2 linked regions of the Pelodiscus sinensis genome follow. The protein of the gene in region 1 interacts with the protein of each later gene in a pairwise test. Links are inferred from orthologs where the notes say so. Each region holds a gene or a part of one and is shown in the gene's direction. Other genes may lie near its edges.

Region 1 (16,111 bases):
TATTAGGTATCATTTTTATTTGCAGTAAAAACAGGGGCTGTTTCTGCCCATAGATCCATATCCACAATCCCTTTGACTTGGGTAGTGCTGAGAGCAGAACTTGGCCCGCTAGATTCTTACGGCAGATGCGCAAATACAACTGGCTATTCTTGTCCAAATCATGCAGTTGCTGAAGTTTTACGATTCTGTAACTCTGAACTTGTTGGCCAAAATGCTGGGTCTTTCGTTACGTTTTTGATCTTGCGCCTTGCCCAGTGTTCCAGGCTGCCGCCAAGATCTCAAACACCCTCTTATGTGTCATTGTCAAACCAGCTCAAACTACCCCATGCTCTTTTAGTCTGCTTCTCCCAGCTCCATTTTTGATTATTAAGCTGAATCAGCTGTCAGTACATTTCAAAACCTGCCTCTGAAGTGGGTTTCTGAGACATGCATCTGCTTTTTGTAAAGCACCTCTCTTCCCAAAGGGTCCTAAAATCTTTTCCTTGCTGGTTTGAGCAGGGATATTTTACCACTTCTGATCTGCAGCGTTCCTCCCAGCAGTGCTGGGTTTGTGGGACTAGTCTACTTGGATTCCCAGCCCATTTCAGTTGAAGTGAACATTTCCCACATTCTGGGCTGCCTGGGGAGGGGGAGCTTGCCCTGGGTCCCCTCTTTGCAGGACCCCAAACCTAGTATTTGTATGACCTCGTGCATGCGGCTGCCTCCCCGCTTAGCTTTGGCCTGTCCACTCCTCCATTTCCATGTACAGAGGAGAGAGCAAGCCGAGCCAAACCTGTGTGATGGGGCAGCCTCCTTTTAGTCGCTTGACACACAGATCATCTGCAGCCACATCGGAGGTGAAATGCGCAAATGTGTTGCCATTGGACACTGGTGGCAAGTGGTCTGGTCTTATAGTCAAGTCTCTTTTCAAAGGGCAAGTATCAGCATCTAAAGTGCGGCAATGTCAATTGTTTAGTGGGTCCAGGCCTAGTCTGTCCTTGGAAGTATATTTGAATATTTAGCCAAGTGCTGTGCTTCAAATTACAAGGTCCAGTGGTCTCATGGCTTGGTTGCCTACAGTTAAATATACAACTCCACCTAAGCACTTAGGCTATGTCTACACTTGCACCCTCTTTCGAGAGAGGGGTGCAAATGAAGACATTCAAAATTGCACATGAACCTGGGATTTAAATATCCCACGCTTCATTTGCATATTCGCATTATGGCGCTATTTTGAAATAACAGACGCTGTTAAGACGTGGTTATTTCAAGAGAAAACCCTTTTCTCGAAATAACTAGTAAACGTCATTGTATGAGGAATAAGGGTTATTTCGAGAGAAGGGTTTTCTCTCAAAATAACCGCATCTTAACAGCATCTGTTATTTCGAAATAGCACCATAACGCAAATATGCAAATGAAGCACGGGATATTTAAATCCCGGCTTCATTTACAATTTCGAATGTCTTCATTTGCATCCCTCTCTCGAAAGAGGGTGCAAGTGTAGACATACCCTTACATAAGCAGCCTGACTTCTATTTCAGATGCTGACCACCAGCACCTTCTGTTGCTCTTTATTGATTTGTGGCTGCTCCGCTCTTCTGGAAAATCAGACCTGTCCTAGTCAGATATCCAAAGGTGGATTGTGGAGCCTGACCTTAGACATCCATTGTCAAAACAGCCGCTTCTGTCACAAAGACTTCAGGATGGTCTCTTAGGCCTGGTCTACGTTGCAGCGGAAGGTCAACTTAAGCGATGCAACTTCAGCTGTGTTTAAATATGCAGCTGGAGTCGACATATTTTAAATCATGTTGCTGCACTGTCCACACAGCGGAAGGTCAATGAAAGCAAACACTCCCATCTGCTTCCCTTACTCCTCATGAGGAGCAGGAGTACTGGGGGGACGACAGGGGTGCCTTCTGAGTTAGATTTAGTGGGTCTATACTAGACTCGCTAAATCGAACTTGGAAGATTGACCGCAGCAGCACTGATCTTCCATGTAGAATAGACATGACCTTAGTTACTGGTGGCTTGTTTCATTGTTAAAAATTCCCAACAAATTGCTATTCTGAACATCAGTCTGTAATTGTAAAAGAACAGATTTTACCTTAGGTATAATCTGTCTTTAATTCTGCTGTATGTTTTCGAATTTTGGATTGCCACTTGTGGGTTCTGTTAGTCACAAATTTGAATGTGTGTGGCTTTTTAAACTGGACAGCCATTGTTGTCTGATCAGTCCAAATAAAAAGCTATTGGTGCTTCTCAATGTTGTGATTTGTGTCTGTGTAAACATGAAAAGCTCTAGTTGGTAAAACTATTAATGCGACAATCCAGCGAACTAGTTAAATCTAAGGAAAACAGTCTCTTAAATTATATACAAAACTTGCGCAGCTGATTTTTGGCCTTTCAAAAAACAATCTGAAAAAAGAAACTAAAAACAATAATTTATTTCCTGATTCCTTAGGAAGTATGGTAAACTTAAAAAGGGGGGAGGGACATGTAAAGGTAGTATTCAAAAATTAAATGAATTCAAACGATGAGGACCATACCATTTTTTTTTTTAAAACAAGAGACAGGTTAGAAATCTTATTTACACATGCATAGAAAACTCTTCCTTTTGCCATTTAAATGTAAGTTCATCTAGTGTAAAAAAAAAAATTAGTGTTTTAACCTTTTTGCATACTGCTTTGATCTTTCCTATGCAATATAAAACTTTATCATAAGAATCCTTAGGATACTGGAAAAGTACAAGTTTGCCAAGGGAGTTGGTGTTGGTCTTAAATCCTTATTTCTGAAAAATGAATTGGTCGATGAATTCATTCTGGTCAGCTTCTATTTTACAAAGGGTCTCATATTCCACTCGGTATCTGAAAAAAAAGACACAGAGAATGCTTACAACCTGTATTTAGAGTTTAAATATTGGGACAATTTTAATCCACAAAACCAGTGATACTCTGAGAACGCAACAATGTCTACGCAGTTGACTTGCTGCCTGTACTGACATGTCAGCTTTAGAAAAAGTTTGTAAACTGTGTCCAATGTTGTGCATGGGGGAAAATATCAATAGCATCAGGTGTTTCATATATCAGATTTATTGTGGGAAACCGCTCGGCAGGCAGGCACTGAGCTTGAGGTCCAGTTTCCTTATATAAAGAACTACCACTGAAGAGCCCCGATAGGACCATTGTTTTAGGTCTGGAAGGGACCTTGAGAGGTCATCTAGCCCAGTCCTGATGCTGTGTGTGTAACTCTTTGTTGTTACTATTTATCCTTTCAAAATGTCAAACCAAAACTCCTGGAAAACTATTGGTCTTGGCTTCACAGGCCATCTTAACTTACCTTTCCAACTGCATTTTCTTCTCTGTTATTAAAGCCTGAAGCTGCTGCTGCTGGGCTTCTCTCTGTTTCGCTATAGACTTTAACAAGTTTCGGGCACCAATTGCCTAGGGAACCAAGACTGGGTTTTAGTAATAGTGCTCTCGGTTTTAGCAATAGTGCTATTGTCATTTTTAACAAGTCATTTGTCCAAGGGGTTTGAATAATTAGACTTCAAGGGAAGATAACGGCTTCCTAGAGCTGCCATTCAAACATTCATTACTGTGACTAAGTGCAAAGTCTAAACATATTACTTGACCTCTGGATGACTGGGGCAACGGATATTTAAGCACAGAATTGACCATTAGTTCTGAACCTTTTCCTAGATAAATAAGTTTTGTCCTATATACATGGTTTTTTAAACAACAAATGTTCATGCTTGTTTCTAGACTGACCTATAAAGTAGAGATCCCAGTAACATGTATTTCTACAAGTGTGGCGATTGCAAAAGTAGCTATTGAGATGTGTACAAACAAAACCGCTTTGTTTCTAATCAGCTGCTTCCTTCTGCCACATGTCTTCAGTGATGGTGCTGTCCCCAACATCTCATTAAAACCTACTGTTCCATGCACTCAATTTTGGCCCCATTGAATGAACTGGTAGAAGGACAAGATTGATTAGAAGGAAGAAATCTGCTATTTACATGCAAATCTAATGGATCAGCTGTAGGGTTGGGGGGAGGAGGGGAAGCACCAGGAATGACCTGAAGCTTGCTTGTTTGTGTGCCACAGGCTAGCAGTAGTCCTTTAAGCCCTTGGGGAGGGATAACTATGATGTTAATCCAAAAATAGGTGTTAACAGCTCGACCACTTAAAAGATCCCTAAAACAATCTCTATCATATCAATTGAATAACCACCTAGATTGCTTAAATCACACACAGGTAAGGCAGGGGCTACTGTGTTTTGTAGAGGACAGAATACTTCAGGAACCAATAATTTCATGTACAGTACCTTCATCTTTTCATTTTCAGCTGCTTTTGCTAGTTGATCAACAAGTTCTATTAAGCTACCCACTATTTTCTGAAACTCTGCAATTTCTGAAAGGGGAAAAAATGGTGGTGTTTAAGCCAGAAGTGTTTGTCAAAATGACCAAAATTCTTATACCATAGCACTGGTGTGCTTTTATCCAGGGTTTGTGTGTTATATCCTTAACACTGTTAAATAGCTTGTATTAGGAATGTTTACTATAAGACTTCTATACAAAAGACGGAGAGAAAAATATAATGAAAGGCCATTAAGTACTGATTAGGTTCTTGTCTTCTCAGTCTTCCTTCCCTCTGTTATTTATTTAGATCTATATTTAAAAAGAGATGCCATTGCCTATACAAGAATAGGTGCCCTACCACAGCGGTTCCCAACTGCCAGGCGGGCCACAGACCTCTGGCTGCCGGGCCGCGGCGGCTCTTGGGGCCCAGGGCTGGGGTACATGGTGCTCTTGTTGCAGCTGTTGGGAGAGGCGGGCCTGCCCTGCCTCTCAGCTAATCAGCGCCAGGCGGAGGGGTCTCCTCCAGCCACAGAAGAGCACTTCCTTGCGTGGTGGGAGGGCCGCACGGAGCCACTCTGCGCACCCCTCCTGCTGCGCAGGGAAGCGCTGGTCTGTGGCTGGGAGGAGACCCTGCGCCACACGGCCCTCCCGCTGCATAGGGAACCGCTCTTCCACAGCTGGAGGAGACCTCGCCCCTGCCCGGCCCAGAACACGCCTCTCCCAACAGCTGCAACAAGAGGGGCGGCGCTGGGCAGTGTACCCCAATCCCCAGAGCAGCCGTGATGCAGGCAGCAGTGCAGGGCTAGGTGGGGGGGGGGGGGCGGACTAGTGCTTGGGGGCTTTGGGGGCTGAGCTAGTAGTGTAGGGTGGCTATAGGGGCAGGGCTGGCACTGTGGTACTCTGAGGATGGGGCTAATATTGGGGGCTGGCACTGGGGAGACTCTGGAGGGGTTGGGTGCAGTGAAGCTCTGAAAACAGGAGGCTGGTACGGTATTTAGTAGGATTGAGAGCTTGACCAAGGAAAGTAAAAAAAGGGGAAGAACTTACTGTCTACAAAAGCTTTGCATTCTTCTTTGAGTTCAGTTGTTTGCTGTGCAACCTCCGGATCCAAAATTCGTAATTTATTCAGCTCATCAAAGTGAAGATTTGCATCGCCTAGAATGTCCTTGGCCATATCTAGACATCCGTTTTAAAGATAAAAAGCATGCAAATAAGAGCATTAAACTTGCAGCCATTTTCAAATTGCACTCTAAGACCCCAGAGCTCATATCAGAGCAAGACAGAACTTTAAAAATAAAGGTGTTGGCTGTATCTAGACTGGCCGCTTGAATTTCCGCAAAAGCACTGACTTCCTCCTGTAAGAATCAGTGCTTCTTGCGGAAATACTATTCTGCTCCCGTTCAGGCAAAAGTCCCTTTTACGCAAAGCTTTTGCGCAAAAGGGTCAGTGTAGACAGCTCAGATTTGTTTTCCGCAAAAAAGCCCCGATCGCAAAAATGGCGATCGGGGTTTTTTTGAGGAAAAGCGTGTTTAGATTGTCACGGACGCTTTTCCGCAAAAAGTGCTTTTGCGGAAAAGCGTCCGTGCCAATCTAGACGCTCTGTTCCAAAAATGCTTTTAATGGAAAACTTTTCATTTAAAAGCATTTCCGGAAAATCATGCCAATCTAGACGCAGCCATTGAGTCCCATCCCACTGTCCAGGAAGAATGACAGTATGATGGTCCCTGCGTGAGCCCCAGGAGCTGGTTGTGTACAGGGAAAGTTAGGGCAACTGGAACATGACACAATGAGAAACAGCTGCCTGGATACGCCCAAAGCTGCTTCTCTCCCCAGGGTGGGTGTTTCGAGGTCGACAGCTAGCACTTCATCTGGCCTGGTGCCACTTCATGCAAAGAAGCTGACTGGCTTTAGCATACATGCGTGCTGAGCAGATACACTACATGGCAGAGGTTATGATGCTGATCAGAACCTGGTAGCTTTATGTATAGAGGAGCTGTCACAAGGTCACAGAGCAAGGCAGTAATGGACAGCCTGGGTGGGGAATGCTCCCCAAGGCAAATGTCATCTCACTTTGTCTGCTACCACATGCCCACTCCCATCTAGCCTTTCTCCACAGAGGGCAGGCTTTCCACAGAGAGTTGGGAATCTTGAAGAAAACCTTAGAAAACAATTGCTCTTGTCTACACAAAGGCTTTCTCCCCCCCCCCCCCTAACCCTGGGCAGCAATGACAACCAAGCTAGTGTGGACCCCGTGGGAGCATGTTTACCATAGTGCTGCCGTGATCCAAGTGCATGGGACGGATTTGGGGCTGCTAGTCCCAGACCAAGTTTGAGAGGGACAGTGTCAGAAAAGCCTTGGGGTTGAGGCAACCATGGTCGGCCCTCTCCCCATCTCTCCCCCCGCGCCCTTAGCTCACCACAGTGTTGTCGCACAACAGGAAAGTGGAGTGGGGCAAGTAAAGCCAAGGGGCTGCTCCCTGACTGCTGCCAAGTCCCTGGAACACTGTGTGCCTCAGTTTACCTGCTGTCCCAGGGACGGAAGCTGCTGCTTCACCTCCCCGGGGCTTTTTATGCAGCTGGCTGAAGTGACCAAGTGCCCAGGGGTGTGTGTGTGGGGGGGGGACAAAGCCAGCCTGTTGCCCACGTGGCTGTGGGGGGGGGGGGGGAGGGACAGGGGTTGGCCTGGCTGTGTGGGGGAGGGGACAGGGGCTGACCCTGGCGGGGGGGGGGAGGAGTTGACAGGGGCTAACCTGGCCTGACTGGGGGGGAGGGGCTGACCTGGCCGGGGGAGGTGAGGAGGGGGGAGGGGCTGACCTGGCCGGGAGGAGGGGGGAGGGGCTGACCTGGCCGGGGGAGGTGAGGGGGGGGGAGGGGCTGACCCGTCTCCAGGCGGCGCTGCCGGGGTCCCCAGGCGTTCGGGAGCCGCCGCGCGGCCGCCTCGTACCTGCCCGACGCCCCCGCTCGCAGGGCGCTGGGGCCTCCGGCTGCCACGGCGACAGCGCCGGTATCGGCCGGACCGTACCACTCCCGGGGGGAGGGGGGACGGTGCATCACGGGAGCTGTAGTCCCACCACGCGGCGCCCGCCCGGAGAGGACCCGCCCCCGCTTCGGCGCGGCTGGAGACAGCGGCAGAGCCCGCCCGGCTCAGCCCCCTGCCGCCGCTCGGCCGCAGCCTGCCCCTGGCCCCGCCGCACGCACCGACGGGGGCACAAGCCCGCTGGGGAGCGCTTCTCGCGCCGTTTCTCTTACCCCAGTGCATGCTGGGGCTTGTAGTCCTGAGGCGGTGGCGACCTTCTGACATGCTGGTGGCTGCGGCCTCTGCGGGCAGGTGGCCCCGGTGCATGCTGGGGACTGTGGTCCTTGGTAGACAGAGACCTGTGGCATGCGATGCCTGTGGTGTCAATGGGCCGGCCCCGGTGCATGCTGGGAGTTGCGGTCGATGGGCCGGCCCCGGTGCATGCTGGGAGTCGCGGTCGATGGGCCGGCCCCGGTGCATGCCGGAGCCTGTAGTTTGCGCTGCAGGGAGCGGTCCCGGGCCGTGGGGGGGAGGAGCCGGGCCCGCGCCGGGGAAGCTGCGCTCGGAGGCTGTGCCCGGGGCAGGGCGGAGAGCTGGGCCGGGATCTCCTGCAGCGGGGGCCGCGGGGAAGCATCGCGAGCAGCTCGGGGAGCACGAAGGGCCCGCAGCCGGGTAAATACCCCCGGGATGTAGGGAGGCGGGTAAATACTCTGGGGGGCGGGTAAATACTCCCCGCCTGGGAAGGGAGGTGGGTTAATACCCCCGGGCTGGGTGGGGGGAAGGGAGGGAATCGGGTAAATACCAGCGGGCTGGGTGGGGGAGGAAGGGAGGCGGGTAAATACCCTCGGGACTGGCGGGGGGGGAGCGAAAGAGGGTGGGAGGGAGGCGGGTAAATACCCTTGGGACTGGCGGGGGGGGGAGCGAAAGAGGGTGGGAGGGAGGCGGGTAAATACCCTCGGGACTGGCGGGGGGGGGTGTAAGCGAAAGAGGGTGGGAGGGAGGCGGGTAAATACCCTCGGGACTGGCGGGGGGGGGGTGTAAGCGAAAGAGGGTGGGAGGGAGGCGGGTAAATACCCTCGGGACTGGCGGGGGGGGGTGTAAGCGAAAGAGGGTGGGAGGGAGGCGGGTAAATACCCTCGGGACTGGCGGGGGGGGGGGTAAGCGAAAGAGGGAGGGAGGTGGGTAAAGATTCCTGAGGCTGGGGGGAAGGAAGGAAGGAGGGAGGTGGGTGGGTAAATATCCCTGGACTTGGGGGCAAGAAGGAAGCCGGGTAAATGCCCCTGGGAGTGGTTGGAGTGGGGAGGATGCCCCCAACACGTATCCCCTGTGAGTATAAACCCTAGTGTGCGTAACTAATCAAAGTGTTTGTCTACCTGATTGTGGTGGGGCTGGTGATATCTGCTACAAACACACCGATATCATTGGTCTGGCCAAAAGGGTAAATTAGTGAGATTAAGTCCTCTCATTTGTGGGCAATGTTAAATGTGTGTGTGTGGGGGGGGGGGGGGGGGGGGGGGGGTGGTATTTCCTTTCCTATGTTGAAGCCTTTAGGGTTGTCCCTAGTGGAAGGAGGACAACTTTTTGTAAGCGGGGATCAGGGTGGGATGGGCCGAGATACTTGTGGTGCTGGAGCTGGGACTTCAATAATAACAATGCTGATCTCTCATGTTGCACGTTTTGCCTCCGAGCGCTTCACAAAGTGTTTCAGGAATCACACTAAGAATGCTGAGACTTACGGTAACTTCATGAGAGTTGGGAACCATTCTCCTCTCTTCCCTTTGTCGTATATCATTCATTACTCGTTAGCTGTATCGCGCTGGTGACCAGGAGTCACCTTCATGGACCAGAACCTTAGCGTGCTCGGCTGTAAAGACCTGGAACAAAAAACATGATCCCTTCCCCAAAGAGTTTTACAGTATTTTCATATGGTATGTCTGCTCCTTGCAGAAGGGGCCATGTTTCTCTCTACCTATGAAGCAGGACTAACAATTTGTAAAGTTCCCTACCTCCCAGGGGGACAGTGAGGGTTAACTAATGTCTGTAAATGTAAATGCACAGAGGCACCATAAGCAAATATTTTATCCCTTTGTAAGGCAGCTTCTTGCATGTTCTGAGGATGCCTTATAGATGTCCAGTGCCCTCTCTTTTTTTATTTACAGCAGGAATTCTTAGATTCTCTTGCCGGTGTCCCCCATGCCTCTTGAAAATAAATTCCTGTGTGCGCAGTCACGATTCTCTGCAATCTAGGGAATGGTCTCTCTTTTGCTGCCTACTGACTAGTTCTCATGCAGTGCATTTCATTTCATCCCAAGATCTCACCTGGCTTTATAAAGGAGGACAGCAACATTATTCATATTTTACAGTTGAGGAAACTGATGCAAAAATGACCAGTCTTCCAAGTTCCACTCCTCCGCTCTCTTGACTAGGCCAGGGGTGGGGAACCTTTTTTGGGTTGAGGGCTGCTAACACACAGAAAAATCAATCGAGGGGCTGCACACAAGTAAGAAGAAAAAAAAAAACAAAAAAACCCAGCCCTCATTGACGTGGTCCCTGAGAAGGAGAAAGACACTCCCCACGTTCCCCTTACATACCAGAACCTAGTGGGGTTCAGGCTAGTAGATTTTGTGTGCTCCAGTCCCACCGTAGACATGGTCTCCCCAATGCTGGGGGGGGGGGGGGAGCCCTGAGCCTCGGGGGCTGCATCCAGGCAAACTGGGGGCTGCCCACGGCCCTGAAGTTCCCTACTCCTGGACTAGGCCATGCTGCTTATTGTTTCCTACAGATAAGTCTTAATACAAAAACGAGAGCTGGTTTCTGTTCCTGGTTCTGCCCCTGACCTTAGGCATGTTTTCCCCATGTGTAAAATGGAGATAATGATACAGCTCTCCATTATAGTTTGAATGCTTGTCTCTTCCACCAGCAGAGTAGGTCCAATAAAAGAGATCTTTCACCCTCCTTTATAAGCATTTTGAGATCGACCGATGAAAAGTGCCGTGTAAGAACGCAGTGGTGGTGTTTGTCATCTGTTTAGACCAGTGAGGGGCAGCCTAGGCTAGTGAGTGGGCCACATGAGTAGCCCTTCATTTCAATTGGTTGCAAGATTGTTGTAGCCAAGTCGGTCTCCCGGGATAGTATGGTTTTGCTTGTGTACCTAGAATTGGCAGGGTGTGCGGATGTAACCGTAGCAGGGCTTTGATTGGTTTCAGAGGGAGCACACGGCTCTCGCGATATTGTGTACAGTCAGCACGCACCTCACTTCATGTGCCCCTGCTTTACCTGTGTGTCACTTTAGTAGGAAAGGAACTATGTGGACGAAAACTGGCACAATCTGTCAACCTTGTGCATGGGCAACGGTAAACAAAATGTCTCATGGGCCACATATAGAACCCCATTGGGTGCCATGCGGCCTTTGGGCCACAGATTGCCCACCGCTGTTTTAGATGATCAACTTTGGGGTGCAGGCTGTCTCCTGTTCCATGTTTGTACAGAGCCTGTAACAGTGGAGCTCTGATGTCAGCTAGAGACTCTACATATTGCTGTTGTAGTACAAGCGAACGCTAATAGACCAGTTTGTGTCTCTCTTCCAGCTCCCTACCGGGCTGGACCCAAAGATGGGGAGTGGTGTTTATCGTCCTTAGTTTGTGAGTGTTGCTGTTTGAAATGAATGCTTCTTTTGAGCTGTTGAGAACGTGGTCTGGGATTTACAGTAGTTATTAACTGGGACAGTTTCCTGATGTGAGAGATGAAATGTTGTGCTATTGTATTTACAATCTTGTGCCACTCTTCCTGCTCAAGGCAGGAAAGAAGGACAGAGTAACAAACTTTTCCTCTTACAGTCAAGACGCTAATTGAGGGTTTCCTTGCTGAGTATGGGTGAAGTCTCCTAGCCTGCCTCTTAATTAACATGTGAAATCAATTGTATTGGCTCCCATGCGACTTGTCTGGATGGCAAAAAGGATTTCCCTATTTTACTCCTCTGTGCTTTGTTGGGAGAAAATAATAGCGCTAACAAAGACCCTGATTCTACAATGAGATGCTGTCAGGCAGACTCATGTAGGTTTCTGGAACTCTGACTGGGTGTGGAGATCTGCCATTCATTGCAGGATCAGACTCTTGAATTCTGTCCTTTTCAGAACCTTTATAATCACTCATTCTGAAAGTCTTTAAACATGTTTTATTTAAATCACTCCCTACATTAACTGGATTTGAAAATTGGTTTTTACAAAATTTAATCTTTACTGAAAACCTCAGACGATTGTAATTGTTTAAAACAAAATCCAAATGAAGCCCCTTGATTTTTAAATCAGTATTATTTCCCTTCAGCAACTGAAACCTAAAAGTGAAAATGCCCGTACACAAATAAAACTTATTTTTTGTTTTGTTTTCCAAGGTAACAAAGACAAACGGAGGATAGATTAGAGGGCAGTCCTTACCCATATGCAGAACATGCAGCTGCATAGGGCACCTGAAAATTTGGGGCACTACTGGGTCTTAATATCCACCCATTTGCCTCTTCCTGTTCCTGGTCTGTGGCTTTGCTTCTTGCGGAGAGGATCTAGTTAACTTTAACATGAAAAAGCCTGCCAGACCCATTAGCAGAACATCCAACCGGTGAAAGAGCCATTCAGGTGGTAATGAAGGCATTGAAGAGGCATTTGCCTACCCCAGGTATATAGTGTCAGTTTCTGAATTTACTGTGTTAGTCGACAGGACCTTTAGTGTTAAAATTTGGTTTAAAACTATTCATGAGTGTGTTGCTGAAGATTCTAAAATCACATCTCTCAAAAGTCATCACCCTGCCAGCTGTCGTCGGGCACCAGTTTAGTCGCACTGCATAGGCCCTCGTAAATCCTAAGGACATCCCTGATGGATTATATCGCAGCGAAAGCATAGGTCAGGTTATCTGAAATAAGATAGGAAACCTGCTCTTTATTCCTATTCCTGTGTCAGACTTACTGTCTGTATGTAACTTACCTTTACCTTTACCACGTGAGTATTGTGAGACTGAATTTCCTTAGTGTTTGTCATGTGCTTTAGGACCTTTTAACAGGGGGTCTCAGAAGTGAACAGTGTGGTATTGTTCCATGATCTTGTCATTGTGTGACAGTACACCCAAGCAGGTCTTGGTGATCACCTCTTATAGGGCATGGCTACACTACATCCCTCTTTCGAAAGAGAGATGTAAATTAGATAGACTGAAATTGGAAATGAAGCCGGGATTTGAATTTCCCATGCTTTATTTGCATAACGGCGGCTGCACGTTCTTTCAAAAACGGGTATTTCGAAAGTGAAACCGCCGTCTAGACACGGTTCTTTCAGGAAAAAAAAACTTTCAAAAGATCCTGTACTCCTCAAAAAATGAGGTTTACAGGATCTTTCGAAAAAGGGTTTTTTTCCCCGAAAGACCCACGTCTAGACAGTAGTTTCACTTTCAAACTACCCATTTTCAAAAGAACGTGCAGCCGCCATTAAGCAAATGAAGCGCGGGAAATTCAAATCCCGGCTTCATTTCCAATTCGGATCTAATTTACATCCCTCTTTCGTCTAGACATAGCCTTAGTGATTAGTCGCTTGCAGATCAACAGTTGCTTTTATAGCCATTTCCTTTTGTGATGCCTGATTGCCTGTGATTCATACTGACTTCTGAGATGCTTGGCTCAAATGATCCGCGAGGAAGGAACTTTCAACCTGTTTGCAGGCAGAAAAGAATTTGGGCTTTGTTTTCTAGGGCTGCTCAGCTGGAGGTTAAGAATGCAACCAGTGAGTGGGGCTGCCAATTAGAGCCAGTTATAACCTGACTGACCTGCTTTGGCCTCAAAATGCTTTGTGGAATTTGCTGTGTCCTTGCATGTTGCAGAGTTTGCTTCCCACTCACTGTGGATTATTAGAGGCAGTTGGCAGGGATTACTCAGATCCAACAAAGGGGGGAATGACGCTGTTGGAAGGTTTGTCTGGGTCTGTAATATCAGTGATTCTTCAAATCTCTGACATTTAAGTTGCCATCTGTAGCTCTCGGGAGGTTATTCTGTACCAGGTGGATGCTTAGCTCTCTCATGCTGCCGGTAGGGCAGTAAAGGATTGCACTACCTGGTAGTGGGCTGTTTGTAAGAGATCACTGATGGTGCCTTTTGCTGTCCGGAGAAGTGAGAAGACAGAAGAGCCTGCTACCCGAAATGGACAGATCGGTAGATTCAGCGCTGGATTTACTCTTCTGGGGGCCTAGGGCCATTACATTTTGTCATTCCGCTCCCCCAGGCTCCAGGGTGGGGCCAAAATGAGGGATTATGGGCTCTGGGGTGGAGCTGGGAACGAAGGGTTTGGGAGGCAAAAAGGGACTCCAGGCTGGGGCCAAGGGATATGGTCGGCAGGAGGTTGGGGTAGGGATACAGGGTCCAAGTAGGAGATAGGGTGCATGTGAGGGTGAGGGGCACTGACCTGGAGCAGCTCCCCTTTGGTGGCACAGTGGGGAAGTGGGCAGGTGGCTCTGTATTTCCCCTGCAGGCACTGCCCGGTGCAGCTCCCATGGGCCGCAGTTCCCGACCAATGGGATCTGTGGGAGTGGAGCCTGCAGGTAAGGGAAGCACATGGGCAGAGCTTGCAGGTCCAGGCCGGCAGGAGGGAGGCAGGAGTGGAGCCGCATTCCACACCCACCCACCCACCCGCGATGCAGGGGCTTCAGGAGCTGCATCCCAGTGCCTGGGCTCTGCAAAAAGATCCGCCCTTTTAGACTACGCGTAGTGGGAGGGAGGGAAGAGATTTCAGCTCTGGGAGCAAAGTGCAGCTGCTCCTGAGCTCAGCTGAGCACAGCCCGGTGCCTGTGAGATCCAGAGTCCAGTGAGAGGGTCGTGGCTCTGATGGGTTAGATGGGGCCCATCTTTGCTTGCGTTCGTTTGGTTCCATTTCTTGTTTTGCTTGTGTGGGGATGGGAGAGAAGAGGGGCGGGGAGGGAGGGGCTAGGACTGGACTAGAGACAGGTTAACTTCATTTATCTGCACTCATCAGCGAGGAATGTTTCAGCAAACAGGTCCCAAGCAATCTTCTCCACATTGGAATGCAACTACAGCATCAGCTAGTTGTTCCCCTGTTAGTGAGAACAACTCTGACTGCAAAGATGTACCAGGTGTATGGATAGAGAAATTGAATGGCCCCCACAGGGATCGGAATCGAGTTGACAATGGAGACTGCCAGGAAAGCCCTACACGCTGTTCTTCCAGCCAAGGGGAAGTGCAGGAAACTCTCCCATTGTGAGGGACAGGTCTGAACGAGATGTGTAATATCCCTCTGGGAAGCAGAGAGCGAGCGCAGAGTTCCTGCCTTCTGCCCAGAGACGTTCAGACTGACGTGTTTCGCCTCCACTTCAGGTTTGGCTGATGCCTCCGCTTTGTAAAGTCCTGAAAAGTGTAATTTGGCCAGGGGGGTTTGAAGCACCATTGTTTTCAAATGATTGTTTGAAATGAGCTGCCAAGTTTTGTCTCCTATTGAAGAGAAAATCAACCCCCATTTTTTTTTCTGCTGTCTCCTTTGTTAAACACCGAATGCCAGTGGCCTGGATTATTTTCTCATGACTTTGTTGGGAGGAAATAGCTCGTTTCCTGATGCATTGTAACTAGGCATGCACTCACACTCTGTGATTTCTTTTATAGCTTCCCTGTGTCAGTCCTTCATTCAACCTTTCAGTTATGCCTGCTAATAATGCGTCTGTCTTCGTACAAGCAAAATGCAGGAAAATGTAGCACTTTAAAGACTAACAAGATGGTTTATTAGATGATGAGCTTTCGTGGGCCAGACCCACTTCTGGCCCACGAAAGCTCATCATCTAATAAACCATCTTGTTAGTCTTTAAAGTGCTACATTTTCCTGCATTTTGCTTCAACTACCCCAGACTAACACGGCTACATTTCTATCACTTGTCTTCGTACAGTGGTTTGTAAGCGTAGGACAGCCGTGTTCCTGGCTAGCTATTCAAATAAAGTCCATATTCTGTCTGATCCCCTTCTCTCTTTTTCCCCTTTTTTTCAATGTTGTAGGTGGGATTTTTAACAGGGCTGTAACGCTGCTCCTGTTGGCATCAGTGGGAGTTAGGGTGTGAAAGTGCAGCCATTTACATGCTTAACCGATGAGCCTGGGCTAGCCGGTTAACATGCACGATTACACGCATCCCCCCCCATCAGAGGCAACAGCACAGGGGAGGGGGCAGATGGGAGCTGGTATGTGCGGGGAGCTGGCTTTTAAGCTGGCACCTTGCGGAGCCCCCTGTCTCGCCGCACTATGGTCCCTGTCGCCCGCATGCCTCCCCGCTTGTAACTGACATTTTTAGCAGTTCCACATTTACTTTAATAAATGCAGTTTAACATCCCAGATGAGCAGTAACGTTGTCTTTAGGAAGAAGAATGCTGGACCAACATTGTGTGTTGTCAGAAACTGTAGAACAGTGACAGGCAACCTAGGCTAATGAGCACCACTCAAGCTGAAGAAGTGGGGTTTGCCCATGAAACCTCCTGACACTGTATATTTTTGTTACTCTTCATAGTGCCACGGGACTACTTGTTTTTTTCTAGGCTAGTGGCTTCCCCTTCATCTCAGTGGGCTGCAAGACCGTTGTAACCAAGAGGGCCTCCTGGGATAGGGTCGTTTTGCTCCTTGCGCTGACATATGTAGAATTTGCGGGGTGTGCTGACTGCACTGTAGCAACACTTTGATTGGCTGCAGAGGGAGCACCTGGCTCTCCCAGTGTTGTGTGCAATCAGCGTGCACCTCCG
Region 2 (15,558 bases), on another chromosome or scaffold:
GGGCCCCGCCCAGCCCCCGCTCCCCTCCCCGGCGGGTGACCCCGGTTGGGGGCCGGCTCTGGACACCGCTCGGTCGCGGCCCCGTGGCCCTGCGCGGGAGGCCAGTCTGGCAGCGGCCGGGGCGGTCTGTGTCGGGCGTGGCGCCGTGCGCCCGGCTGCTGCCTGGCCAGGGACTAGCGCGTCGGTCCTGCAGCCCCGGCCCCGGACTCCCAGCCCCTCCGCCCCGCCGGGGCCGGGCTGCCAGGGACTGAGCTGGCCTGTCTCCTCGCAGGGACCACGCTGGGGCTGTCGCTCGCCCGGCGGGGAATGGCCGAGCCCGGCGCGGAGGGACCGGGCCCTTGAGCCACGCGAGGTAACGGAGGCAGCCGCATGTCCCCCGGCCGGGCGCTGGTCACAGCCAGGCTCTTCCCCAGCCCCTTGCTTCGGCCGGGGCCCCTGGGGGCGCCCCCCGGGGGAGCCAGGCCCCTTCCAAAGCGAGAGACCCAGAGCGAGCCCCTTGGCCAGCGCCTGGCCGGTCCCAGGAGTGACCAGGAAACGCCCTGGCCCGGGCCAGCCGCTACTGGCAGCCAATCCCTGTGGGTAAAGGAGGCAGGGAGGGGGCCGGGCCCAGCCCCGGGGCTCCCCTTTCCACGAGGGGCGGGGGGTGCCGGCTGAGCGAGCGGCCTGTGGCCCCCCAAACTCCCCGCAGCCCAAGGCAGCGGCCCGTCCGGCTGGGGGCGGAGCAGACAGGGACACCGGGGCCCGGGCCCAGGAGGGAGGGAGCAGGGTCCTGGGGCCACACAGGGGCTGGCTGGGGGGCTCGGCCCCAAGGGAGGCTGGAAGTGCTGCCCGGGGCCCGGGGCCTGCCCCAAGCAGCACCTGGAGGTCGTGGAAGACGCGCCCGGCGTGGCCAAGGGGAAAGTGACGTCCGTGGCACTAGGTGTGAGAGCCAAGCCACCTGAGATCCGGGCTGCCCACGCGGTGCCCCGTTGGGGGGAGCTGAGCATGCGTCCTGCAGGCCCCTGGCCCGCCCTCAGGCGCCCGCGTCACCTTGGCAGGGATCGCTCCCTGGGCCGCTCTCGGCCCCGTTGACCGCAGCCCCCCCCCCCGTGCTGCAGGCTCCGGGATGGCGCGGGGCCATGAAGGGGCCCAAGGTGCTGACGGTGGCCCTGGCGCTGCTGACGCTGCTGGCCCTGAAGGCCTACGTGGAGTGGAGCGAGGAGCAGCCGGAGCCCCTGCCCGCCCAGCACCCCACCCAGCTCCTGCCCCCTGAGCTGCTGGAGGTCGACCCGGCCGGGCTGAACAGCTCCCTCCAGCGTCTGCGCGGCAGCATCCCCCAGGCGGACGCCTACTGGAACCGCCAGCAGCACCAGCTCTTCCGGGCGCTGGAGTGGGGCCTGGCCAACGGCTCGTGGGACTGCAGGGCCGGGCTGGCCGTGGCGGCCGAGATCCGGGACTTCGCCTCCTACCCGGAGCAGCACCGGCGCTTCGTGCTGCACGCCGGGTGCCGCCGCTTCCCGCTGCTGCTCAACCAGCCCCACAAGTGCGCCGGCAGCCGCCCCTTCCTGCTGCTGGCCATCAAGTCACAGCCGGGCCACTTCGCCGCCCGCCAGGCCGTGCGGGAGACCTGGGGCCAGGAGGGGGCGCCGGGCGGGCAGGCGGTGCGCACCCTCTTCCTGCTGGGCACTGCCCACGGCCCGCACCAGCCCGACCTGCGCCAGCTGGTGGCCCACGAGGGCCAGGCCTTCGGCGACCTGCTGGTGTGGGACTTCGAGGACACCTTCTTCAACCTGACGCTCAAGGACTTCCTGTTCCTGGGCTGGGCGGCGGCGCACTGCCCCCACGCCCGCTTCGTGCTCAAGGGCGACGACGACGTCTTCGTCAACACGCCCCAGGTGCTGGCCTTCCTGGCGGGGCTGGAGCCCGCCCGGGCCGAGACGCTCTACACGGGGCAGGTGATGGCCAACGCCTCCCCGTTCCGCCTGGCCCAGAGCAAGTACTTCATCCCCGAGTCCTTCTACGAGGGGCCCTACCCGGCCTACGCCGGCGGGGGCGGCTACATCTTTGCCGGGCGCCTGCTCCGGCCCCTCCTCCTCATGGCCCAGCACGTGGCCTTCTACCCCATCGACGACGTCTACGCCGGGCTCTGCTTCCAGGGGCTGGGGGTGCCGGCCCAGGCCCACCCCGCCTTCCAGACCCTGGACATCCCCGAGAAGGACCGGGACGACCCGTGCGCCCACCGCCGCCTGCTCCTGGTGCATCGCCGCAGCCCCCAGCAGACGCTGCGCCTCTGGCGGCTGCTGCAGGACCCGCAGCTGCAGTGCTGACGGCACCCCAGCCTGGTGCGTGGGGTGGGGCGGAGCCTGGCCCCAGGGGTCGCCAGCGTGGGGGGCTGCCCCCAATGTATGGGCACAGCAGAGCCTGGCTTGGGGGCACTGGGCTGCCCATGCTGTGGCGCAGGGCAAGAAGGGAACACGGCCAATGGAAACACAAGGCCCCCTCTCTGGAACAGGCCCAACTCTGCTGCCCTCTCCCTGCGTTTAACCTCCCTCTCCCCCCCCGCCCCAAGCTGCCTGCCAGCCCCCCGGGCCATTGAGGGGCGTGGCAGGACCCTGTGCTCGGTGCTTGGCAGGGCTACATGCCCTGCGTGGAACTCGTCCCACACAGGCCCTCAGGGGCGTCTGCCCCATGGCGGCTCCAGGGGGCTGTGATGCCGCGACCGCGAGACCAGACATGCTCCCTCCTCCCATGGCCTGCAGCAGCCGCTCCCCTGCTGCGTGGGGGACTCTGGGGCGAGGCACCTGGAACCCCAGACGGGGGGCTGCGGGCAGGACCCCGCTGCTGGGTACGGGGGTGGCGGACGGAGGCAGGGAGCCGTAGTGTGGAGAGTTTATTGATCACCGGCACCCGGGGGGCCAGGCCCCAGCAGGATCCCAGCGCAGCGTAACAGCAGCAGGCGGCCCCCACGCCCAGAGCAGCAAACCCACACGTAACAGGCAGGCGCCCAGGGGCCTCAGGGCCCCTCCCGGCAGAACCCAGCCCCCGAAGCAGAGGCTGATTAGAGAGTGCACTAACCCCCCCCCCCAAGCCCAGGGACCCCCAGCCGAGGGCAGCCCACAGGCAGGAGGCCTCACTTCTCGAAGTGCTCCAGCGGGTAGTGCTCGCCGTAGAGCCGGAGGTGCCGCGCCAGCGCCTCCTGCTGCTTCTGCAGGTGCGGGGGCATCTCGCCGTACACGTCCGAGAAGAGGTAGTGGGGGCTGGGCTTCAGCTTCCGCTCCGCCTGCTCGAAGGCCTCCATCACCTGCCAGGGGAGGGAGTGTGAGCCAGCCCGGCCCCACCCGCTGGGCCATGTTGCGCCCTCATAGCCCAGCTCCGCCCACTAGGCCCCGCTGCCCTCTCAGCACCCAGCCCCGCCCACTGGGCCCCACCACCCACCCAGAGCCAGCAGGGGGCCCAGGATCCTGGCTCCCAGCCTGCCCCTCCCCCCCAGGGAGTCCGTGTCCAGCCCAGGGGGGCGGAGCCTGGGGCTGGGGGAGGGGCCTTGCTCACCCTCTTGCGGGATTTCTTCCTCCAGCTCTTCTCCTGCTCCTCGTCCCACCAGCCCCGGCTCAGCATGTGGTGGCGCAGGCGGGAGATGGGGTGGTCCTGCTTGTCCCAGTAATTCACCTCGTCCACCGAGCGATAGGCCGAGCTGTCGTCACTCGTGCTGTGGTGCCCAATCCTGGGGGAGGAGCTGAGTGAGTCCCGCCCCCTGCAGGTCCCACCCCCTGCCTGGCTCCGGCCCCTTCCCCCCCCCCACCTGTAGGTCATGGCCTCGATGAGGAAGGGCTGGTTCTCGGCCACAGCGCGGCGCCGGGCCTCCCGGGTGGCGTTGTAGACGGCGAAGACGTCGTTGCCGTCCACGCGGATGGACATGATCCCGTAGCCGGGGCCGCGGGCCGCTGGGGGTGGAGAGGAGCCGCCAGTCACCCTGCGCCCCTTGGGCCAGCCCCGCCTCAGACACTTCCTCCCCCGGCCCCCCACACTCCCTCCTGCCCGAGCCCCTCTCCTGGCCAGTGCCTCGGGGGAGGCCAGAGCGGCTCTACGCCCCCCCTTCTCCCCAGCGGCACTTCCTCGTGAGCCCGCCCTGCCCCCGGCCCGGCCCCACCGATGCCGTCGCCCCGGTACTGCTCCGAGGTGGGCGTGGAGATGGCGTAGCCGTTGTTGCGGCAGAAGAAGATGATGGGGCACTCGAGGGTGGCGGCGAAGTTGAAGCCGGCGTGAGCATCGCCCTCGCTGGCCGCGCCCTCCCCGAAGTAGCAGATCACGGCCCGGTTGGCGTTGTCCCGCTTGAAGGTGTAGGCAGCTCCCACGGCTGGGGGGCAGAGCAGCGGGGAGGGGTCAGCGCAGGCTTGGTGCCTCGCCCCGAGCCGCCCTCCTGATCAGGAGCTGTGGGGCAGGAGTGAGGGGCCCTGGCAGAGGCTGCAGGTCGGGGGTGAGGGGCACTGGCAGGGGCTGCAGGTCGGGGGTGAGGGGCACTGGCAGGGGCTGCAGGTCGGGGGTGAGGGGCACTGGCAGGGCTGGGCTGGGCTGGGCTGGCAGGGGCTGCAGGTCGGGGGTGAGGGGCCCTGGCAGGGCTGGGCTGGGCTGGGCTGGCAGGGGCTGCAGGTCGGGGGTGAGGGGCCCTGGCAGGGCTGGGCTGGGCTGGCAGGGGCTGCAGGTCGGGGGTGAGGGGCACTGGCAGGGCTGGGCTGGCAGGGGCTGCAGGTCGGGGGTGAGGGGCACTGGCAGGGCTGGAGGGGGCAGAGGCTGCAGGTCGGGGGTGAGGGGCCCTGGCAGGGCTGGGCTGGGCTGGCAGGGGCTGCAGGTCGGGGGTGAGGGGCCCTGGCAGGGCTGGGCTGAGCTGGCAGGGGCTGCAGGTCGGGGGTGAGGGGCCCTGGCAGGGCTGGAGGGGGCAGAGGCTGCAGGTCGGGGGTGAGGGGAGGGCTGGCCTGGCAGGAATGAAGGGCGCTGGCAGGGGCTGCAGGTGGGGAGCGAGGAACCTCGGCAGCCCCCCCGCCCGGTGCACTGGCCCCGCCCTTGGCCAGGGGAGGGGCGCCGGGGGCCTCACCTTGTGGGATCTGCGTGGCCAGCGGGGACGAGATGGTGACGAAGTGCCGGTCTCGGCAGCCGTAGTGCACGGGCATCTGGCGCCCTTTGCCGGTGTCGCTGGCGTTGCCGTAGCACTGGGCCATGAACAGGTCCAGGGGGTAGCCCCGATACATCAGCACGCCTGGGGCACAGAACCGCAGCCGGGTTACGGGGAGGCCCCGGGGCATCCAGCGAGCCCCCATGGGCGCGGGGTTGGCTCTCCCGCGGGGGCCTGGGACTCAGAGGCACGTCCCACGGCAGAAGGGGCTGAGAAGTGGCTTGGCTTTAGCCCAGCCTTCCCTGGAGGGACAGCTCGGGCGCGTGTGCGCTGCCCCCAGTGAGCACTGCATGGACGTGCGGGCGAGGTGGCCGTGGGGGTCACCCCCCGCAATCAGCCAGCACCTGCTTCCCGGTACTGCCCGAACACCAGGTCCGTGTCGTCGAGCGCTGCGGCACTGCCCACGTGAGTCCCTTCCTCCCCGTAGTTGGTCATGTAGAAGGAGATCCTGCCCTGGAAAAGGAACAAAGAATTAACTGGGGACTGGACCAGTATCCTCACCACTGTGGGGAAACTGAGGCATGGGCCAGGTCTGTGTCTTGAGGACATGCACAGAGGAGCAGACAGGAACAGAACCCAGGAATCAACTCTGCTCTAACCACTAGACACCACTCCCCTCCCAGAGCTGGGAACAACTCAGGGGTCCGGCATTAACCACTAGACTCCGCACCACCCTCCCATGCGGTGTGAGAACTGGCTTTTGACTATGAATGTGCAGAATTCGTAGATGCTTGATGCAAAAGAGGCCGTGTAAGCTGCTGATTTTACAGTTACAGTTTGAATGTGCAACCCCCGCCTGGCCATGCCTCATTCCTGTCGGGGAGGGAGGTGGACGAAGCGCGGCTCCATTTCAACAAGGCGTCAGTGGGCGGGAAGGCCAGTTTAGTGGCACGGTCAGTGCAGCACGGGACAACCCCAAGGGGACTGCTGTGATTTTAGCTAGTCACAGACCCCTCCCCCTTCCTCCCCCCAGAGCTGGGAGAGAACCCCAGAGTCCTGGTGCCCGCCTGCCCCCTCCACCCCGCTCTAACCACTATCCCCCACTGCCCTCTCCAAGCGGGGAAACAACCCAGAGTCCTGGTGCCCATCTCCCCTCTGCTCTAACCACGAGCCCCCACTGCCCTCCCCAAACTGGCAGACAACCCAGAGTCCTGGTGCCCAGCCCCCCTCTGCTCTAACCACTAGCCCCCACTGCCCTCCCCAAGCTGGGAGACAATCTGGAGTCCTGGTGCTCAGCCCTGTACTGTGGGAAATTACCCCTGTGGTGAGCTAATCACCCTAAAATCCAACACCACGGAAGCAAATCGCAGGGTGCCCAGGAACCAGCCCCAAAGCCCCTCCCGGCCTCCCCTGCCCGCCCCGTGCTGCCCCCCAGCAGCCGCACCTGCCTCTGCGACTCGTAGAGGATCCGGTCCATCGTGTTGAGCAGCGTCATGGTCTTGTAGAACTTCAGCACCTGCTCCTGGGAGAGCTGGGGCAGGAGGGGCGAGGAGCCGCAGGTCAGCGCAGGAGGGGCCGGGTGGTGGCGCTGCCCCCCAGGGCTCTGATCTCAGGGTGACTCGGGGCCGAGAAAAGCCCAAGCAGCCGAGTGGCGCTCGGGTCCCATGCCCTCGCCAGCCAGGCAGCCCGGTGTGCCCCCGCCCCCGTCAGGAAAGGGGCTGAAAGCAGCCAATGGGAGAGAGGCTGCAAGGAGCATCAGAGCGGCCAGGCTGGGTCAGACCAGGTGGCAGGACAGAAGCGGGGGGCTGGGAAGATGGGGTGTGTGTGGGTGGGAGGGGACAGACGAGGTGCCCCAGGGGGACGGCAGGAACCGCCTGCAGGAGACGGGGAGACCAGGGCTGGCTCCCTGCAGCACCTCGCTCCCACCTGGGGATCAGCATCCGGGTTGATGATCTGCCCCTGCCGGTCCATGACCCGGTAGATGGGGATCCCCGAGATCACGTTGGGCTGGATAAAATCCAGCTTGTCCACAAAGTCGGCCGAGGCGCCAGGGAACTGCGGCTTCTCCTCCAGGGAGGTGAACTCCTGCTGCTGCCGGCGTGCGTGCTGGGGGGCAACAGGGACCAGGTGAGATGGGGGGGGCACTGCCTCCGACACTTCTCCCCCCACGTGTCTGCGCCGCGGGACACCCAGCCTGAGGCCCCGCGAGCGTATGGCCAAGGTGCCCTGCGAGCGAAGAGAGCCGGGGGGGGGGGGGACTCAAAGCCGGGGGGTCACCAGCCGATTTACGGGGGAGATCCCTGTGGGAACTGAAGTGCAATCCAGGATCCACCCCGGCCCCGCCCCCTTCCCGCCCCTGCTCACCCCTCCCTCTGGGGGCAGATTTGGGGAGCAGGAGGGTTCCGAACGCAGCCTCCAGCTGGGCACCGCGACCCAGGGCGCCCCTCCCCACCCTGCCCCTCTGCGGAGATGGGGTACAGAGGGGGGGGCACCAGCGCCCCCCTTTCCTCTTCCCCGTGCAGCCAGCAAGAGGCTGCCCCCCCCGCGGGGCCGGCGCGTGATCGGCGCGTGGGGCCGGGGCGGGCGCCGCGTCCTTGCGGCGGCGGCTCAAGGCCGGGCCCGCGCGGGGGGGGGGGGGAGTAGGGGGGGGGGGGCCTTTCCTGCGCCCCCGCCCAAACCGGCCTCTGCTGGGGGATCCCGGCCCGGGGGGGGGGGGGGGCAGGGACCCCGAGCCCCGCCCCGCGGGGAAACTGAGGCACGGGGCGCGGAGCCCCCCCGCGGGCAGCACCGACGCTCACCCCCCCCCCCCCGCACTCACGGCGGCGCCCAGGCCCCGGGCCCCCCGCAGCAGCCGCCCCAGGCCCCGCCGCAGCCCCCAGCCCGCCGCCATCTTGCTGCGAAGGCGGGGCCGCCTGGAGCCCCGCCCCCCTCGCCATGGCAACCGTGATCCCGCCTCCCCGCGCCGTCCGTCTGCGCGTCACCCTGGCAACCCCCCTCCCCGTAGCGCGCCCGTCGCTATGGAAACGGGGCTCCCCGCCCGCCCCGGAAGCGGAAGTGGGGTCGGTAGGTGGGGCCGCGTTCCGCGTGCAGAGGGGGCGGTGCCCGCAGTCGCGATGGGCTCCGAGCCGGGGGGCTGCGCCCTGCGCCCCTTCTCCTGCGAGCTGGGCCCGCTCGGCCGCCCCGACGGCTCCGCCGCCTTCCTGCAGGGTGAGCCGGGACCCCGCTTCCGGCCGGGGACCCCCACTTACGGCCCCCCCCGCTTCCGGCCCGGGACCCCCACTTCCGGCCCCCCTTCTTGCCCGCCCCCCCCGCTTCCGGCCCGGGACCCCCACTTCCGGCCCCCCTTCTTGCCCGCCCCCCCCGCTTCCGGCCCGGGACCCCCACTTCCGGCCCCCCTTCTTGCCCGGCCCCCCGCTTCCGCTCGGGGACCCCCCGCTTCTTGCCCGGCCCCCCCCACTTCCGGCCGGGGACCCCTGCTTCTGGCCCCCGCTTCTGCTCATGGACCCTCACTTCCGGCCCCCTCTAAACCGCCCCCACCTGCCTGCGGCCCGGAGCTGCTCCCCCCCCCCCCCCCCCCCGGCTCCCTGTTCTCCGGCTCCTCGCCTCGGGGCCCCCCCCACCCGTAGGTCGGCCCCCCCCCCCCCGGGCCCCTCCGGGTTTCCAGTCCCGCCCCGACGCGGGGAGCGGGGCCGAGTCTGACCCGCCCCCCCCCCCCAGGAGACACGTCGGTGCTGGCCGGTCTGTACGGCCCGGCGGAGGTGAAGGGCAGCAGGGAGCTGTACGACCAGGCCACGCTGGAAGTGCTGCTCAAACCCAAAGTGGGGCTCCCGGGTAAGCAGCGGCCGCGGGGCTGGGGGGGGGGGCTTTAAAACCAAGTCCCTGGTTCTGGCAGCTGCATGTTTACAGGGCACCCTACAATAATAGGAGCTTGTAGGACGGCCGTGCAGCGGGACTGACAAAGCAGCCTGCAGCTCGCTGAGCGGTTCTGTCCCAAGCCGGGGGCAGGTCCGTCTGTCTGTCTGGCGCGTTCAGGGTCTGCTGACCTTGGGTGGGCGGGTCGGTTGTGGGGACGAGGGGCCTGGTCTGCATGGACGGGCGTGGGGGCAGTGCCTGGTATGCCGGGGTCGCGGGCTGGGTTTCAGGGGCAGTGCACAGGTGGCTGCGGGGGGCGGGTCCGGCTCGCTGTCAGCCCGCCCCCCTGTCCTTCCCCAGGCGTCTTTGAGAAGAGCCGGGAGCAACTGATCAGGAGGACGTGTGAGGCCGTTATCCTGGGCACCCTGCACCCCCGAACCTCCGTTACCATCGTGCTGCAGGTGGTCAGTGACGCCGGCTCTGTATCCTTCCCAGGCAGCAGGGGGCGCTGCCCGGCGTGTGCCGGGGGGCGCTTTGCCCGCTTGCTCTTCCATCCCCCCCCCATTGGGTGGGAGCTGCCGCCCTGCACACCCAGGGGCTTTGGCTCGCCGTCCCTGACCCCGGGGTCCCGCCCAGGCTGGAGTTGCTGGACAGCCTGCTCCCTGGCTGATCCCAGCCTCCTAGGCCAGGCAGCTCAGCGTGCGTCTGCCCCTCCCTGGCAGGCTGGGGGTGGCGGGCAGGGGCAGGAAGGACAGAGCTGCTGCCGTTCGCAGCCTAAGGGGGCAGCGGGGACCTCCCAGGCTGCCGCAGGGAAGGGAGGGGCGTCCGCAGGGGGTGCTCCCTGGCAGCTGGGGGAGGCCCGGCTGCCTTGCTCAGTGTGGGACAGGGAGCGAGCGTGCGTCCTGCGGGCCCTGTTCCTAAGGGCTCGGCTCTGTGGCTGTCCAGGCCCCTGCACCGCTCGCTGCAGCTGCGCCCAATGGAACAACCCGTGGTACCCCTAGTGGTGGCCGCGCTGTGGCAGTGGCTGCTAGGGGTGGGTTTGCTCTCTGGCCCGTGCCCAGATGGGGCTTCCTGGCAGACCCTGGGAAGCAGGGCACTGGGAAGAGGGAATGGGAGCCCCAGGTGCCCCCAGCCCAGCCGGTGCCCCTTGCTCCCCACCTGCAGCCCCTGCCAGCCCAGGCCTGCCAGTTCCCCTCACTCTCAACCCGCAGTCCCTGCCCTCCCCCTCGCTCTCACCCGCAGCCCAGCCCGTTGTGGGCGAGCACGGAGGAACTGGCATGAAGCGGGGCTGGGCAGGGCTGTGGAGTGGGTGCAGCAGCCGTTCCGGCACTGGAGGCATTGAGTTGTGGTGCGTGATGTGGGTGCTAAGTGACAGAGTCTCGGGGGGGTAGCCGGGCGCAGGGATTAGCGGCTGGCGGAGGCGGCTGGCTCAGACTGATGGAGGCAGGAGTGATGACTTAATTTGGCCTGCCCGGGGCAGCTCTCTCTTCACTCAGCCAAGTCCCCGGGGAGGGATTAGCGCTGGCAGGAAGGGCATGCGGCCCTGCGCCTCCTGGGGCCTGGCGTGGCCTTTCCACCAGCAATATCCTCGTGGGGGGGGGGGGGTTTCTGCGCGCGGGGGGGGGCTTACTCAGGGTCACACTAGTCTGTGCCAGAGCCAGGGACAGAAACCACTAGCCCCCACTCTCCTTTCCAAGTCAGCCCCTAGCCCCCTGCCCATCCTCCAGACCCTACAGAGCCCAGTGCTCTGATCTCGGCTAGGGCCTGGGGGGCGCCCGGCCCGACGGGCCCTGGTCTCGGTCGGGGTCTGTGGGCGCCCGGCCCTGGTCTCGGCTGGGGGCGCCCGGCCCGACGGGCCCTGATCTCGGCCGGGGCCTGGGGGGCGCCCGGCCCGACGGGCCATGGTCTCAGGTGGTTCTGAGGCCTGAGTCCTGCCTCTGGGGGTCGGTGGTGATTGTCTCGGCGGCTGCCAGCCTTTCCCTTGACCTGGTGCCAGCTGCTGGCCTGCTGCCTGAACGCGGCCTGCATGGGGCTGATGGATGCCGGCCTGCCCATGAAGTCGCTCTTCTGCGGGGTCACATGCGCCCTGGATGCTGATGGAGCCCTCAGCCTCGACCCTACGGCCAAGCAGGAGAAAGTGGGTGTGAGGTGGCCAGGCCGGGTTGGCGCTGCAGGGTCCTGTGGGACTAATGGCAACCTGCAGCATAACGGGGGCCTGATGGCGGGGGGGAGGGGGTCTGTGCCGCACCTGGCACTGTGCGGGGCTCGAGTTGAGCCGCAGCGGGATCTAGTGGTTAGTGCAGCAGGTGACAGCGAGTCAGAAATAGGGGAAACGTAGGCCCAGTGCGGGGTGGCAACACTGGGAGCTGATGTAGTAAAGTTGAGTTAATCTCATTTCGTGCAACCTGTGGAACTCCCTGCCGCTGGATATTGGTGCGAGCCAGCTGCCTGGCTAACAGCCCAAGGGCAGTTGTCTCCAGCATTGGGCCAGGGTCTGATAGCAAAGCCCTGAGGGAAGACTTGAGGGCTTTGGGCCGGTGGGGCTCTCTGTGCGGTGCGCAGTGGGTGGGAGGGCAGCAGGCAGGGACCGGAGCTGAGGGACCTGGTGGCCCAGGGTCACAGGAATGGCCTGGCCTGGTGGACCCGCCCCCAGCAGCGTGGGCAGACAGCTCACTCTGCCCTCCCCCTGCAGGAGGCGCGAGCCCTGCTGACCTTCGCCATCAGCAGCGTGGAGAGGCGGGTGCTCATGTCCACTACCAAGGGGACTTGCTCAGTAGAGGAGGTGAGTGGGGGCCTGGGGAGTGGGGCAGGCCAGGAGGCTGCGGCTGCTGGAGACCGGGACATGGGGTGCCCATCGGGCCGGGTGTGGGTTGGGCGGGGGGGGCTAGGCGGGCAGCCCTGGTGTCTCCCCGAGGCAGCAGGGAGAGGGGGTTGGTATTCCAGCCCCCACCCCTTCCTGCCGGCGGGCTCCCGGCGCGTGGCCGAGCCGCGAGGGGCATGATGTGTTTGGTGTTGAGTGCCCCAGGCAAGCGGGTTTGTCAGGAGACGTCTCGCCTGCCTGCCTGGAATCCCAATGAGGCTCTCTGCTTGCCAGCCTGTGCCCCGCTGTGGGGGTTGACTGCGGGGCGGGGCGGGGCTCAGCTCGGACCCCCCGCTGCGGGGCTTGGACCGGCCGAGCAGGGGTCCCTCTGCCTTTGCTCCCGGCTTTCCAAGCGCCAGAGGCGCCAGACTGGAGCCTGCTACGCGAGGCCTCGGCCCCCGGCCCAGCTGCGCCCCAGAGACTCCCCCCGGGCATGGGCAGTGCGCTAGTGCGTGTTGTGATGGTGCACGCAGGCCTTGCCGTGCGAGCACGTGGCTTCCCAGGGCACCCTTGTGACTGCGCACGCTGCTGGGTAGTGCGTGGCTGTCACTTCGTGTGTACACGCTCGTGGCTGCGTCGTGGCTGCGTGGCGCTCCAGGCCCGCTGGGGGCCCCTTCACGCCGTCTCCCTGCTCCCCACAGCTGCAGAGGTGCATCGCCGCTGCCCAGCGAGCCGCCGACGCCGTCTTCCGCTTCTACCGGGACTCCATCCACCGGAAGTACTCCAAGGCCTGAGGCAGCCGGGCCCTGGACTGCTGCGGCGTGGGGCCCCTCACCTGGCTCCGCCCACTGCCCCCCAGCCGGGCCCTGGACTGCTGCGGCGCGGGGCCCCTCACCCGGCTCCGCCCACTGCCCCCCAGCTGGGCCCTGGACTGCTGTGGCGCGGGGCCCCTCGCCCGGCTCCGCCCACTGCCCCCCAGCCGGGCCCTGGACTGCTGCGGCGCGGGGCCCCTCACCCGGCTCCGCCCACTGCCCCCCAGCCGGGCCCTGGACTGCTGCGGCGTGGGGCCCCTCACCTGGCTCCGCCCACTGCCCCCCAGCCGGGCCCTGGACTGCTGCGGCGTGGGGCCCCTCACCTGGCTCCGCCCACTGCCCCCCAGCCGGGCCCTGGACTGCTGCGGCGCGGGGCCCCTCGCCCGGCTCCGCCCACTGCCCCCCAGCCGGGCCCTGGACTGCTGTGGCGCGGGGGCCCCTCGCCGGATGGGCCCTGCACAGGCCTGGCCGAACTCCGGGCGCCCCTCCCCTCCTCCACGTGCTGTACTGCGGTGCCCATTAAACGGGGCCTTTCCCAGCCATCCGCTGTGTGGGGGGTGAGCCGTGTCCCCCTCCCCCAGCACCTTCAGCTGAGCTCCAGGGTCCCCCCCCTCCCCCAGCGGCCTTCATTTGCCTCCGCAGCAGCTGCTGTGCAATTCAGGGCCTGTCATGAAGCTGGCTGACTGGTTGGGGGAAACTGAGTGGGAGAGCTGCTGGGTGTGTGTGTGGGGGGGGGGGGGCAGTGCCGGAGTGTCCCCCCAGGTTAACCCTTTGGGTGCTGCAGCTGTGCAGTAGCTCCCAGCAGAGCCCAGCCCTGCAGCCAGGCCAGGGCGAAGGGGGGTTCACACGCTGGAGCCCAGGGATTTGTGCCAGTGGCCGTGAGTCGGGGGTTTGGGTTCCCTCCACTCTGGCTCGCTGACGCGTCTCCTCCTGCCCCTCCTACCACCCCGGAGCCAGGGACCGACCCCCCCCCCCCCGCCTGCGCCCAGCTCTGGGGCTGCAGCCGCCGGGCCCCTGGGCCCTCGTGCACCAGGCTGAAGGACGGGACATGGTGATTCCTTCCCTTCCCTTCCCCTCCGGGCCCCCGTCCCGCCTGCCTGCAGCCTGGGCCAGGGCCCCACCTCCGGAGCAGGGCCTGGGTCCCCCTCCTGCCCACTGATCTCTGTCCACAGGGCCCAATTCCCAACCACCCCTCTCCTGCCCGGGTTGACCTGAACCTCCCCCCGCCCCCCTGCTTCCCTCCTTGAATTGAGCCCAGCCCGGGGCGGCCGGCACCGCATGGCGCGGGGGGAGGCAGCGTTTCCGCCAGGGCAGCGCAGCCGGGTTGCTGGGAGCTGCCTGCAAAAGCACCAGCCCCAGGGGGCCCGCGAGCCGGTGCTTCCGGGACCTGACGCCCTCGCCTGCAGGGGCCTTGTTCCCCCAGGGCCTGCGGGTCCCGTGCTGCGCCCTGGCCATGCTCCCCCCAGAGGCAGGCGTCTGCCCAGTGGGCAAAGAGAATAGCTTACGGTTGGCATCCTCTGCCCTTCCCCCCCGAAATCCAGGGGTTCCCCCGCTGCCACGCCCGCACGGCAGCGTTCCTGGCCGCCGCTTTACTTGGAGCTCGGGGAATCTGCGCTAGCCTGGCTCCCTCCCCCCCCCACCGGGGCCCGATCCCCAGCCACGCGGGGGCCCTGCGCTCCCAGCCCACCCGTCCCCAGAGCAGAAAACAAGTCGGCTTTTAATGGCCGATCCCTCGCTCCCGAGGCTCAGCCAGGGACGGGATTCCTGTAGCGTTGAATGTGATTTTTGTGTCTTCTCCCCTTGCTGCAGCCCCTCCCCCTGATTCCATAACGCAAGGCAGACCTGCCTCGGTCCCCCGCCTCCAGCCCCACCGCGGCTTCCAAAGCGCCATGGGCGCAGTGTTCGCACACTCGCCAGCCGGGCCTGTGAACGGCGCCCACAGAGGGCCGGCATATGCCCACTAGGAGAGGAAAGCGGAGCCCCCCCAACCCGGGTTCTGCTTCCAGACAGCCCAGCCGGCTGCTGTGGCGTGCTCCTTGGATGCGGGGCGCTTGGGGGAGAGTGCAGCTAGCTCTGTCCTTTCTGCTGGTGGTGCACATCCACACGGGCCGTGGCACGCACACATTTATTCCACACATGGAAGATTAGCAGAGCCCTTGTGCTGTGCTGCTGAGGTTTCAAACCGGCTCAGTGCACAAAGCCCCATGACCAGGTAATTCCAAGGGAGGGTGGCTTTGAATCTGCTGCTTGGCTCCAGAAGTCTGCCTGGAGCAGTTCTCCGCTTGCGGGGGAGAGACGGGCCTCTCTGGGGCGGGCAGGCAGGCTGCTCATCCAGAGATCCCTCGCCTCGCGGGCCCGGGGGGACTTGGCAAGGGTTCAGCGAGGCAGAAAGCAGCAGCGAGTGGCCAGGCTGAGGGGACACAGCCTGCCGAGGGGCTGCTCCCAGCCCTGGCTCGTGGGCCCTGGGCCCTGGGCCCTGTTCCTGTCCCAGCTGCAACGCCCTGAGCCAGAGCGGCTCCGCCGGGCCCTTTGGGAGGACGGAGCATGGGGCCCTCGGTGTCCCTTCCCCCCATCCTTTCGCTGTCTCTGGGCTGCCCAGCCCAGTGTGGGGTGGCCCACCCACCTTCCAGGGATGGAATGAGGCCTGAGGGGCTGCGAGGTTCACGTGTGCTTGGCTGGGTCCCCGCAGGCTAATCTTGCCTGTTCACACTCGCGTGAGCTCAGACAAGGAAACGTGACAAAGCACTAAGGCCGGTCGTGGGTTGTGCTGAGGGAGGCCATGGGCCTTGTGTGGTGCGCCGGCCCATGGGCCTTGCAGTGTGCGGGTGGGGCCCTGTACGGCCCGTGGGCCTCGTGCAATGGAGGGGTCTGTATGGCCTGTGGGCCTCCTGCAGTGTGCCAGCGGGGCCCCATATGGTCTGTGGGCCTCGTGCAATGTGCCGGCGGGGGCCTGGGGGCCTCGTGCAATGTGCCGGCGGGAGCCTGGGGGCCTCGTGCAGTGCGTCGGT

Evidence for each region.
Region 2: the proteins of TNFAIP1 (region 1) and EXOSC5 interact in binary tests that used the Homo sapiens proteins (3 or more experiments, as listed by UniProt). The two-hybrid records come from large-scale screens. The link is inferred for Pelodiscus sinensis from reciprocal best matches to the Homo sapiens genes TNFAIP1 and EXOSC5.

The regions. Positions count from the first base shown.
Region 1 is NC_134731.1:11,336,037-11,352,147, forward strand, and holds the start of TNFAIP1 (BTB/POZ domain-containing adapter for CUL3-mediated RhoA degradation protein 2), read left to right. Parts: upstream 1-7,776; 5' UTR 7,777-7,812; coding exon 7,813-8,024; intron 8,025-16,111. Other genes in the region: IFT20 (intraflagellar transport protein 20 homolog), read right to left, coding at 2,762-2,843, 3,316-3,419, 4,303-4,388, 5,384-5,512, 7,586-7,679. UniProt on the Homo sapiens protein: Substrate-specific adapter of a BCR (BTB-CUL3-RBX1) E3 ubiquitin-protein ligase complex involved in regulation of cytoskeleton structure.
Region 2 is NW_027465992.1:97,857-113,414, reverse strand, and holds EXOSC5 (exosome complex component RRP46), read left to right. Parts: upstream 1-8,067; 5' UTR 8,068-8,103; coding exon 8,104-8,293; intron 8,294-8,803; coding exon 8,804-8,917; intron 8,918-9,298; coding exon 9,299-9,420; intron 9,421-10,934; coding exon 10,935-11,075; intron 11,076-11,630; coding exon 11,631-11,720; intron 11,721-12,439; coding exon 12,440-12,532; 3' UTR 12,533-13,092; downstream 13,093-15,558. Other genes in the region: B3GNT8 (UDP-GlcNAc:betaGal beta-1,3-N-acetylglucosaminyltransferase 8), read left to right, coding at 272-352, 1,098-2,306; BCKDHA (2-oxoisovalerate dehydrogenase subunit alpha, mitochondrial), read right to left, coding at 3,110-3,280, 3,529-3,700, 3,779-3,920, 4,127-4,333, 5,069-5,230, 5,491-5,599, 6,531-6,617, 7,013-7,192 and 1 more. UniProt on the Homo sapiens protein: Non-catalytic component of the RNA exosome complex which has 3'->5' exoribonuclease activity and participates in a multitude of cellular RNA processing and degradation events.